Arabidopsis thaliana: one gene and its partner. The protein of the gene in region 1 binds, or shares a complex with, the protein of each later gene. Links are inferred from orthologs where the notes say so. Each region holds a gene or a part of one and is shown on either strand. Other genes may lie near its edges. The genes, in order: AT3G03990 and MAX2.

The links.
Region 2: the proteins of AT3G03990 (region 1) and MAX2 are in contact, whole or in part, in a cryo-EM structure (PDB 8IF6), measured with the Oryza sativa proteins. The link is inferred for Arabidopsis thaliana from one-to-one orthologs. Residues at the interface, in NP_001404251.1 of Oryza sativa: Asn61, Arg63, Gly66, Ser67, Asp81, Ser83, Leu89, Arg97, Gly107, Ser108, Pro111, Ala135, Arg137, Pro211, Asp217, Pro219, Ala220, Val222, Gln223, Ser226, Arg227, Asn231; in NP_001411525.1 of Oryza sativa: Gly109, Gly110, Ser113, Ser115, Ser116, Ser118, Tyr596, Ala597, Leu598, Thr599, Pro601, Asp634, Asp636, Val637, His666, His668, Leu696, Met697, Thr699, Arg702.

What each region holds. Positions count from the first base shown.
Region 1 is NC_003074.8:1,031,848-1,035,987, forward strand, and holds AT3G03990 (alpha/beta-Hydrolases superfamily protein), read left to right. Parts: upstream 1-1,731; 5' UTR 1,732-1,940; coding exon 1,941-2,744; 3' UTR 2,745-3,390; downstream 3,391-4,140. Other genes in the region: AT3G03980 (NAD(P)-binding Rossmann-fold superfamily protein), read left to right, coding at 1-342, 826-1,234; AT3G04000 (NAD(P)-binding Rossmann-fold superfamily protein), read left to right, coding at 3,653-4,059. UniProt on the Arabidopsis thaliana protein: Involved in strigolactone signaling pathway. Does not move long distances acropetally in the plant to regulate shoot branching and is rapidly degraded in the presence of strigolactones.
Region 2 is NC_003071.7:17,754,076-17,759,180, forward strand, and holds MAX2 (RNI-like superfamily protein), read left to right. Parts: upstream 1-1,993; 5' UTR 1,994-2,094; coding exon 2,095-4,176; 3' UTR 4,177-4,393; downstream 4,394-5,105. Other genes in the region: AT2G42640 (Mitogen activated protein kinase kinase kinase-like protein), read right to left, coding at 4,457-4,539, 4,634-4,706, 4,791-5,076. UniProt on the Arabidopsis thaliana protein: Component of SCF(ASK-cullin-F-box) E3 ubiquitin ligase complexes, which may mediate the ubiquitination and subsequent proteasomal degradation of target proteins. Promotes the senescence. Is necessary for responses to strigolactones and karrikins.

The DNA of each region.
Region 1 (4,140 bases):
CACCGGCTCTTCCCGTGGTATTGGCCGAGCGATAGCGATCCACTTAGCTGAACTCGGTGCGAGGATTGTTATCAACTACACCTCTAAAGCCGCAGACGCCGAGCGTGTCGCGTCGGAGATCAATGATTTTCCAGTTAGGGAAGAAATCACTGGAAAGGGACCAAGAGCTATTGTGGTTCAGGCCAATGTCTCTGAGCCAAGCCAGGTTAAATCAATGTTTGATGCGGCGGAGAGTGCCTTTGAAGCGCCGGTTCACATTCTGGTTAACTCTGCTGGGATTCTCGATCCAAAGTACCCTACGATCGCAGACACATCAGTCGAAGATTTCGATCATACGTTCAGGTATATACTCGATACTGTTCGTTGATTGGGTTCGTTATAGAAAGCTGATTCCTTTAGAGAATTTATCTTCATTGATTGGGTTCTTGTCTTCCCGCTCAATACTGGAAAAGTAAACTTTTTTTTGTTAATTAGTTAGGTTGATGATTATGTATAAGTTCTTGATCAATTGTTACATGTTCTATGATTTTGAGTTAGAAAGCTGATTCCTTTAGTATATTTCAACTGAGATTTTAGTGGAATCTGTGTTCTTGTTCACTCTCCATGAACCATGAAATTATATGTTCCGTGTTCTTTAGATTTGTATGTCTAATTATGAGTCAAATGCAACATGTCTCGTGTTCTTGTGGCTAATTAATCGACTTATGTTTCTTGTTTCATCCAATGTTCCATGTTCGTGAGATTTGTATGTCTAATTTCCAACTAAAGTTCCTTCATTCTTGTTTCCAATAATCCTCTGTTTGTTTCTTTTAAAATGGAGTGTAGTGTCAACACAAAAGGAGCGTTCCTGTGTAGCAAGGAAGCTGCCAATAGGCTAAAACAAGGAGGTGGTGGTCGGATCATACTTCTGACATCTTCCCAGACTCGATCTTTAAAGCCAGGGTTTGGTGCCTATGCCGCATCAAAGGCAGCTGTGGAAACTATGGTCAAGATTCTTGCAAAAGAGCTCAAAGGAACAGGAATCACTGCAAACTGTGTTGCTCCAGGACCCATCGCCACTGAGATGTTCTTTGATGGAAAGACCCCAGAGTTGGTGGAAAAGATAGCCGCAGAGTCTCCCTTTGGGAGGGTCGGCGAAGCCAAAGACGTGGTGCCTCTTGTTGGATTCTTGGCTGGTGACGGTGGTGAATGGGTCAATGGTCAAATCATTCCTGTTAATGGTGGATATGTATAAAAGAGTTCGTCTTGAGAGGAGCCTCTTCCTGATACCTTGAGAAGCAAATGTAGGGGTTAACTTGTTAGAAATAAAACATTGGGTTCAATTGGAATAATAATAATAATAAACACTGAGGTTGAAAATAAATGTCTTAACCATCTTAATAAAACACTCGTGACTCACCTATGTCCAAAAAAATATATCCAAATTTCTTCTTCTTTTTTTGTCGACATCCTTTTGTTGTTGTCGTCGACATCTAACTTTTGAATTTCTTAAAAACCTTATGTTTAATTTACAAACTCGTGTCTTCGTACTGACACATTCATTGGAACCACTTTATGTTTTATATAATTCAATTTATCATCACCCACCATTCGAATAATCTTTGGGATAAACGTCGTTTGTTGAAATACAACTACAGAATAAAAAAATGGTTTAAGAATATGGCAAGTGCAACAACACCTAAAAGTCTAAAAACAATATCCTTGAAGCATCTTAAATCTCTTAAAATATATCAGATGTGTGACGAATAATCAACGCATGCTCTTGTATCCATAAACTTCAAAAGCCAATCGAAAGTATTGGATAATAATAATAATAAATGCAGTGGAAAAAAAAAGATGATAAAGGAATTTTCATTACACACACACACCTACCCAAACAAGTTTTTATATAAACAGTATCCAACTCTCTTCTTTACCCTCAAACCCAAACACATAAAAAAATGAGTCAACACAACATCTTAGAAGCTCTAAATGTCCGGGTCGTGGGTACGGGTGATCGGATCCTGTTTTTGGCCCATGGATTCGGTACTGACCAATCAGCTTGGCACTTGATCCTTCCTTACTTCACTCAAAACTACAGAGTCGTCCTCTATGACCTAGTTTGCGCCGGCAGTGTCAACCCCGATTACTTCGATTTCAATCGTTACACAACTCTCGATCCTTACGTCGATGATCTTCTCAACATCGTTGATTCACTCGGAATCCAAAACTGTGCTTACGTTGGTCACTCTGTTTCCGCTATGATCGGAATCATCGCTTCGATTCGTCGGCCGGAGCTTTTCTCCAAGCTTATCTTGATCGGATTTTCGCCTAGGTTTCTCAACGACGAGGATTATCATGGAGGATTCGAAGAAGGTGAGATTGAGAAAGTTTTCTCAGCTATGGAAGCTAATTACGAAGCTTGGGTTCATGGATTTGCTCCGCTTGCTGTTGGAGCTGATGTTCCGGCGGCGGTTAGAGAATTTAGCCGGACTTTGTTTAATATGCGTCCGGATATATCTCTGTTTGTTTCGAGGACGGTTTTCAACAGCGATCTGAGAGGTGTGCTTGGGTTAGTTAGAGTTCCGACGTGTGTGATTCAGACGGCGAAGGATGTTTCTGTGCCGGCTTCGGTGGCGGAGTATCTTAGGTCTCATCTCGGTGGAGATACTACTGTGGAGACTCTTAAAACTGAAGGACATTTGCCGCAGCTTAGTGCTCCGGCGCAGCTTGCTCAGTTTCTCCGGCGAGCTCTTCCTCGGTGACTTTTTTTTATAGATATAAAAAGAGAACAATAAAATATAATTGGTGGAATATGGGTTTAGTGGGGTCCACGTATCGAAGAAAAGAAGGGCCTCTATTTGTGGAGGACAGTTTGGCATTGTCACAAATCTAGTAAGATAAGATTGTTCACTTGACACGTGACTTTCGCTTTTTTATCACTTTTTTTCTTGCTCTCTTCATTAGTTTATAATCACAAGTTTATTTCATAAAATAATTGGAGAATAACCAAAAAAAACATTAAAAAATCCTATCTTATCTTTTACTTTCCTCTGAATATTTCTATCCATATTGTTGTTTCTTGTAAGTTCCTGGACCTTGTATTGATTGACGTCTAACAACACATCGATGCAACAACAATCTTTAGTCTCAACACTTTCGATTGTTTTCTCTAATAAAATGATGGAGACAAAAAGATATAAAGTATACTAGAAAATTCTAGCATCACATCGTAAAAGTATCAACAACTAAAATGAAGCAACTATGGCTGACATAATCTTGATTTAAGTTTTATAGTATGCAACTATGCATGTGTGTTCTAAATAATTTTAAAGTTAATAAAATTGGTTAGTTGTATAATGTTGTTACCGTGCTATATATAATACAAGTTAAGATTTGAGAAAGTGAGTGTGTGAATTCTAGAAGACAATCACACAACGAAAACACGTCCTATCAATCTAAACTTTTGAGCAATTCAAAATGCATACGAATTGACAGGTTAAGACAAATCTAAAAACATTTTCAGCAATTCAATTTGCTTACGAATTTGACAGCATAAGACAAATCTAACCATCACCACTACAAATTGCTTGCTTACACTCTTTTAGCACGTTGTCATCATTTCTACCCTAAATATAGAAAAGTAAATTTATAGTAAAATCTACCTAACAGTATGGCTGCAGCGTCATCAGTTTCTTCTCCACCGCTTTGCCTCGCCGGTCGAGTAGCTATAGTCACAGGATCTTCTCGAGGAATAGGTCGTGCCATAGCCATCCACCTTGCCGAGCTTGGGGCTAGGGTCGTCGTTAATTACTCAACTAGCCCCGTTGAGGCTGAGAAGGTTGCCACGGCGATTACCACCAACTGTTCAAAGGACGCGGAAGTCGCCGGCAAAAGTCCACGTGTCATTGTGGTGAAGGCTGATATCTCAGAGCCGAGCCAGGTAAAGTCGCTTTTCGATGAGGCAGAGCGAGTCTTCGAGTCGCCGGTTCATATCTTGGTTAACTCAGCGGCTATAGCCGATCCTAATCATTCCACTATCTCAGACATGTCAGTAGAACTTTTTGATCGCATTATCAGGTTAATTTTAAGAAACTCATTTATTATAAAGATTGTTTCATTTAGTTATTTTGCAACTCTATAACGTGAATTTAATTAGAT
Region 2 (5,105 bases), on another chromosome or scaffold:
ATTAATCTGTAAAATTTTTAGAAAATATTTTAATGCATTTGACATGACCTCTAAATAGTTTGAAACGGTTGAATTGTATACATGGTTCATTGAATTATATTCACTTTGATAAGATAATATTGTATTACATTAACCAAATATATGCCCAAGTTAATTCAGCCAGTCTATAAGCATGGGCACAAAAACATGGTATAGGTCAGTGGATTTGAATATATTTAGTACATAGTCGCGTTTATATGTTGACGCATGTGTAATCACATGTATATGTATGCGTGTATGTGTTTTTGTGACCGGCAAGATGAGTAGGCAAGAGATAATGCATGCCCTACAAATCTTAAATTTCTCACTTTGTAAGGAAAAAGAGAAAAACGAAAAATAAAATTTAGTTGCAAATTTCTCACTATTGCTTTCGTGATTATGCTCACTGAGTTATCCATTAAGCTTTTTAAAAGTTAAACACTATTTTGAAAATATAAATTGTATTTACGTTGGAGAAATAATCAAAACCTATATTTTATTTAATTTGTAACATGACTGAGCGCCGCTTATTAAGCGGGAAACGTATCTAATTAAATACTCTTTGAACTGAATCGATTCACTGTATTGGATCTATATTTCTCTTAAAATGGAAATGAAGTTCAGCTTATCTTTTAGTTGTTGCATGCATTCTTACGTGATTCCAATTATGAATTTGGAAAAGACTCGATATTCTTACATATATGTTATGGGTTTGGGATTTATCTAGATCCTGATCTTATAGTAAAATTATCTGCAGTTTAAATACATTTCTGTACATGACACAAATCAGTGTTTTTGATGCTGTTTTATTCCGACTTCATCTCTTGTTGCAGTCAGTAACTTAATATTGGGGGTTTTCTTAATATTTTAAGGTTATTGAATTCTAAATCTTGCAAAATAGTTGTGTTTAGTTTTAGTTATTTTCCTATTAAAGCTCATGTCTATCAACAAAGAAGGTTGGTATTATTCTTGAGGGACATAAACAAATGTTAGATGCATGCACGGGAAAAAGGTGGATTGTTCTTTACAGGAAAAATATGCAATTCAAGTGGGAACATAAGGGAGAGAGAGGGATAGGTTGATTTTGACTCTTGCAATTTGATTATATAATATCAAATATGTATATTTGTTTAATGATTAAGAACAATTGTCAAGTTACGGCGATTCCATAATAATACGAATGATCTCACAAACAAAATTTGCTGTGCCTCTACCAAATGAAGTATTGGTCAACTTGTGACAATGGCGATGATTCAAATCTATTATCTCATACAATTTTTTTAAAGATAAGGTATTTTTTGTAAAACATTTGAAAGGAGCTTAAGTAACTATGACACATACTGCATGTACAGTAAAGCATACATGTACCCGTAATTACCAAATTCGAAGATCAAAGTTTCGAAATCTTTTGAGTCGGTTAATGTGTAAATCTCTCTTTATCATACCAAAGTACATGCATAGATTACAACTAAAAGCTGATGAGAACACACGAACGAAATGAAATAGTCAGGACATTACATGCAAGCATGCAACTTCGTATATCCTAAACCTTTCATTTTGATTAGTGATATAATGATATTTACATTCATAGAGAAAAAAGGGTATGCAACTATGATTTTGGTTTCTCCAAAATAGTATATCATCGTATAAGTACGCATAACAATCTTTTTGACCAATGACAACACAATCCCATTATCTATTGGTTATGAGTATTTTGATAAAGTAAGGATTTATAAAGTACAATTTGAGGATGAATATTTTGTAGGCTTAATTAAAGAATGTATGTTCTATTTTTTTTTTTTTTTTTTTTGACATCGTATGTTCTTATATAATTAACCTCAAAGATAATTTAGATTTAATCATTTAAATACATATGATTTTTCAATCAAATTACCTCAAAAAAGGAAAGAATTATAGTACTATCTATATTAAAAAGAAAAAAAACATAAAAGAAGAGAGAAGAAGAATGTCAGTATCATCACGTGGCTCTCTCTCTGCCCAACACAAATCTCTTCTTCTTCCTTCTTCCCTCTTTCTTCTTCTAAAATCTCCTCTCTTGTAGATTTGCCGCTTCTCATGGCTTCCACTACTCTCTCCGACCTCCCTGACGTCATCTTATCCACCATTTCCTCTCTCGTATCCGATTCCCGAGCTCGCAACTCTCTCTCCCTCGTCTCTCACAAATTCCTCGCTCTCGAACGATCCACTCGCTCTCACCTCACTATCCGTGGCAACGCTCGTGATCTCTCCCTCGTCCCCGACTGTTTCCGATCAATCTCACATCTCGATCTCTCTTTCCTCTCCCCATGGGGTCACACTCTTCTCGCTTCTCTCCCAATCGATCACCAGAACCTTCTCGCTCTCCGTCTCAAATTCTGTTTCCCTTTCGTCGAGTCTCTAAACGTCTACACACGATCTCCGAGCTCTCTCGAGCTTCTACTTCCTCAATGGCCGAGAATTCGCCACATCAAGCTCCTCCGATGGCATCAACGAGCTTCTCAGATCCCTACCGGTGGCGATTTTGTTCCTATTTTTGAACACTGTGGTGGTTTCCTTGAGTCTTTAGATCTCTCCAACTTCTATCACTGGACTGAAGACTTACCTCCTGTGCTTCTCCGCTATGCTGACGTGGCGGCGAGGCTTACACGGTTAGATCTCTTGACGGCGTCGTTCACCGAGGGATACAAATCAAGCGAAATCGTTAGTATCACCAAATCTTGCCCTAATTTGAAGACTTTTCGTGTAGCTTGTACGTTTGATCCGAGATACTTTGAATTCGTCGGAGACGAGACTCTCTCCGCCGTAGCTACCAGTTCCCCTAAGTTAACGCTTCTACACATGGTGGACACAGCTTCGTTGGCGAATCCTAGAGCTATTCCAGGTACGGAAGCTGGAGATTCAGCTGTCACGGCGGGGACGCTAATTGAAGTTTTCTCAGGTTTACCGAATCTAGAGGAGCTGGTTCTTGACGTAGGAAAGGATGTGAAGCATAGTGGTGTAGCTTTAGAGGCATTGAATTCTAAATGCAAGAAGTTAAGAGTATTGAAGCTAGGACAGTTCCAAGGTGTTTGCTCTGCTACAGAATGGAGGAGGCTCGACGGTGTGGCTTTATGTGGAGGATTGCAGTCGTTGTCGATTAAGAATTCCGGCGATTTGACTGATATGGGTTTGGTGGCTATAGGGAGAGGATGTTGTAAGTTGACTACGTTTGAGATTCAAGGGTGTGAGAATGTAACAGTGGATGGACTAAGAACAATGGTTAGTCTTCGGAGTAAGACTTTGACTGATGTGAGAATCTCTTGCTGCAAGAATCTTGACACAGCTGCTTCTTTAAAGGCAATTGAGCCGATTTGTGATCGGATCAAGAGACTGCATATAGACTGTGTGTGGTCTGGTTCAGAGGACGAGGAGGTAGAAGGAAGAGTGGAAACTAGTGAGGCTGACCACGAAGAGGAGGATGATGGTTACGAGAGGAGCCAGAAGAGGTGCAAGTATTCATTCGAGGAAGAACACTGCTCAACTAGTGATGTGAATGGATTCTGTTCTGAAGATAGAGTATGGGAGAAACTGGAGTATCTATCTTTATGGATCAATGTTGGAGAATTTTTGACGCCATTACCTATGACAGGACTAGATGACTGTCCGAATTTGGAAGAGATTAGGATCAAGATAGAAGGAGATTGCAGAGGTAAACGCAGGCCAGCCGAGCCAGAGTTTGGGTTAAGTTGTCTCGCTCTCTACCCAAAGCTCTCAAAGATGCAGTTAGATTGCGGGGACACAATCGGTTTCGCACTGACCGCACCGCCAATGCAGATGGATTTGAGTTTATGGGAAAGATTCTTCTTGACCGGAATTGGAAGCTTGAGCTTGAGCGAGCTTGATTATTGGCCACCACAGGATAGAGATGTTAACCAGAGGAGTCTCTCGCTTCCTGGAGCAGGTCTGTTACAAGAGTGCCTGACTTTGAGGAAGCTGTTCATCCATGGAACAGCTCATGAGCATTTCATGAACTTTTTGTTGAGAATCCCAAACTTAAGGGATGTACAGCTTAGAGCAGACTATTATCCGGCGCCGGAGAACGATATGAGCACAGAGATGAGAGTTGGTTCGTGTAGCCGATTCGAGGACCAATTGAACAGCCGCAACATCATTGACTGAAACTTGAAGAGTGAGTTACCTACACTATTATATCTGTATTGACTTCAGAAACTGGTCCATTTTATTTGTATGGTCAAGAGTGTTTTGTATATGTTTGTAAGAGGAAAGGACAAAGACTATAATTTGCGATGATTAATGATATCATAAAACAATAATCCATTTTTATAAATGATAAAACTCAAATGAAGAAGCCGGAGAGATCTGGAGTACAAACTCAATGAGTTTCTCACAACTAATGCCTCAACATATTACACACAGAAAGAACAAACAACTCACAGAATCAGCAAATCGGAATCTCGCAGGTCTTAAGACGGTGCAGTATCTCTTTACAGCTCGGCCTTTGCTCTGGTTCCGACCAACAATCTATAACAAGACAAAGTTTCCATAAGCATCTGTTTACTAAAATATAGCAAGGGTTCCAAAAGAAGCAACAGTTAGGTTTCGAGGAGTCACAAACCTGCAATAAGCTTCTGTAGTGGTCCTTCAGGTATTTTGAGCCGGGCTCCTTCGTTTGCAACGATATGAATGACCTGAAAGCAAAAATACCAAGAGCCGGGTTTAGATTCGATGTTTTTATTTAGTTACCAAGTGTTTTTCATGTTCAACGAACATACTTTTTCTTTTGGGACTCCTTTCCAGGGCTTGGATAGAGTGCTAAGTTCCCACATTATAACACCAAAGCTAAAGATGTCGCTTTTTTCTGTGACGGGTTCATTGCGGATAAGTTCAGGAGCCATCCACTCAGGAGTTCCTGCAGCTTCAGTATCTTTCACTGCCGTACCTGTCATCCTTCTCGAGAGCCCAAAATCACAGATCTTGACTATCGACTTGTTTAACAGGCAGTTCGCACTGGTTAGATCACGGTGGACTATCCCCATCTTGTGTATGTACATCAAACCCCTGTGAAACAAAAAAATACAAATGATTAT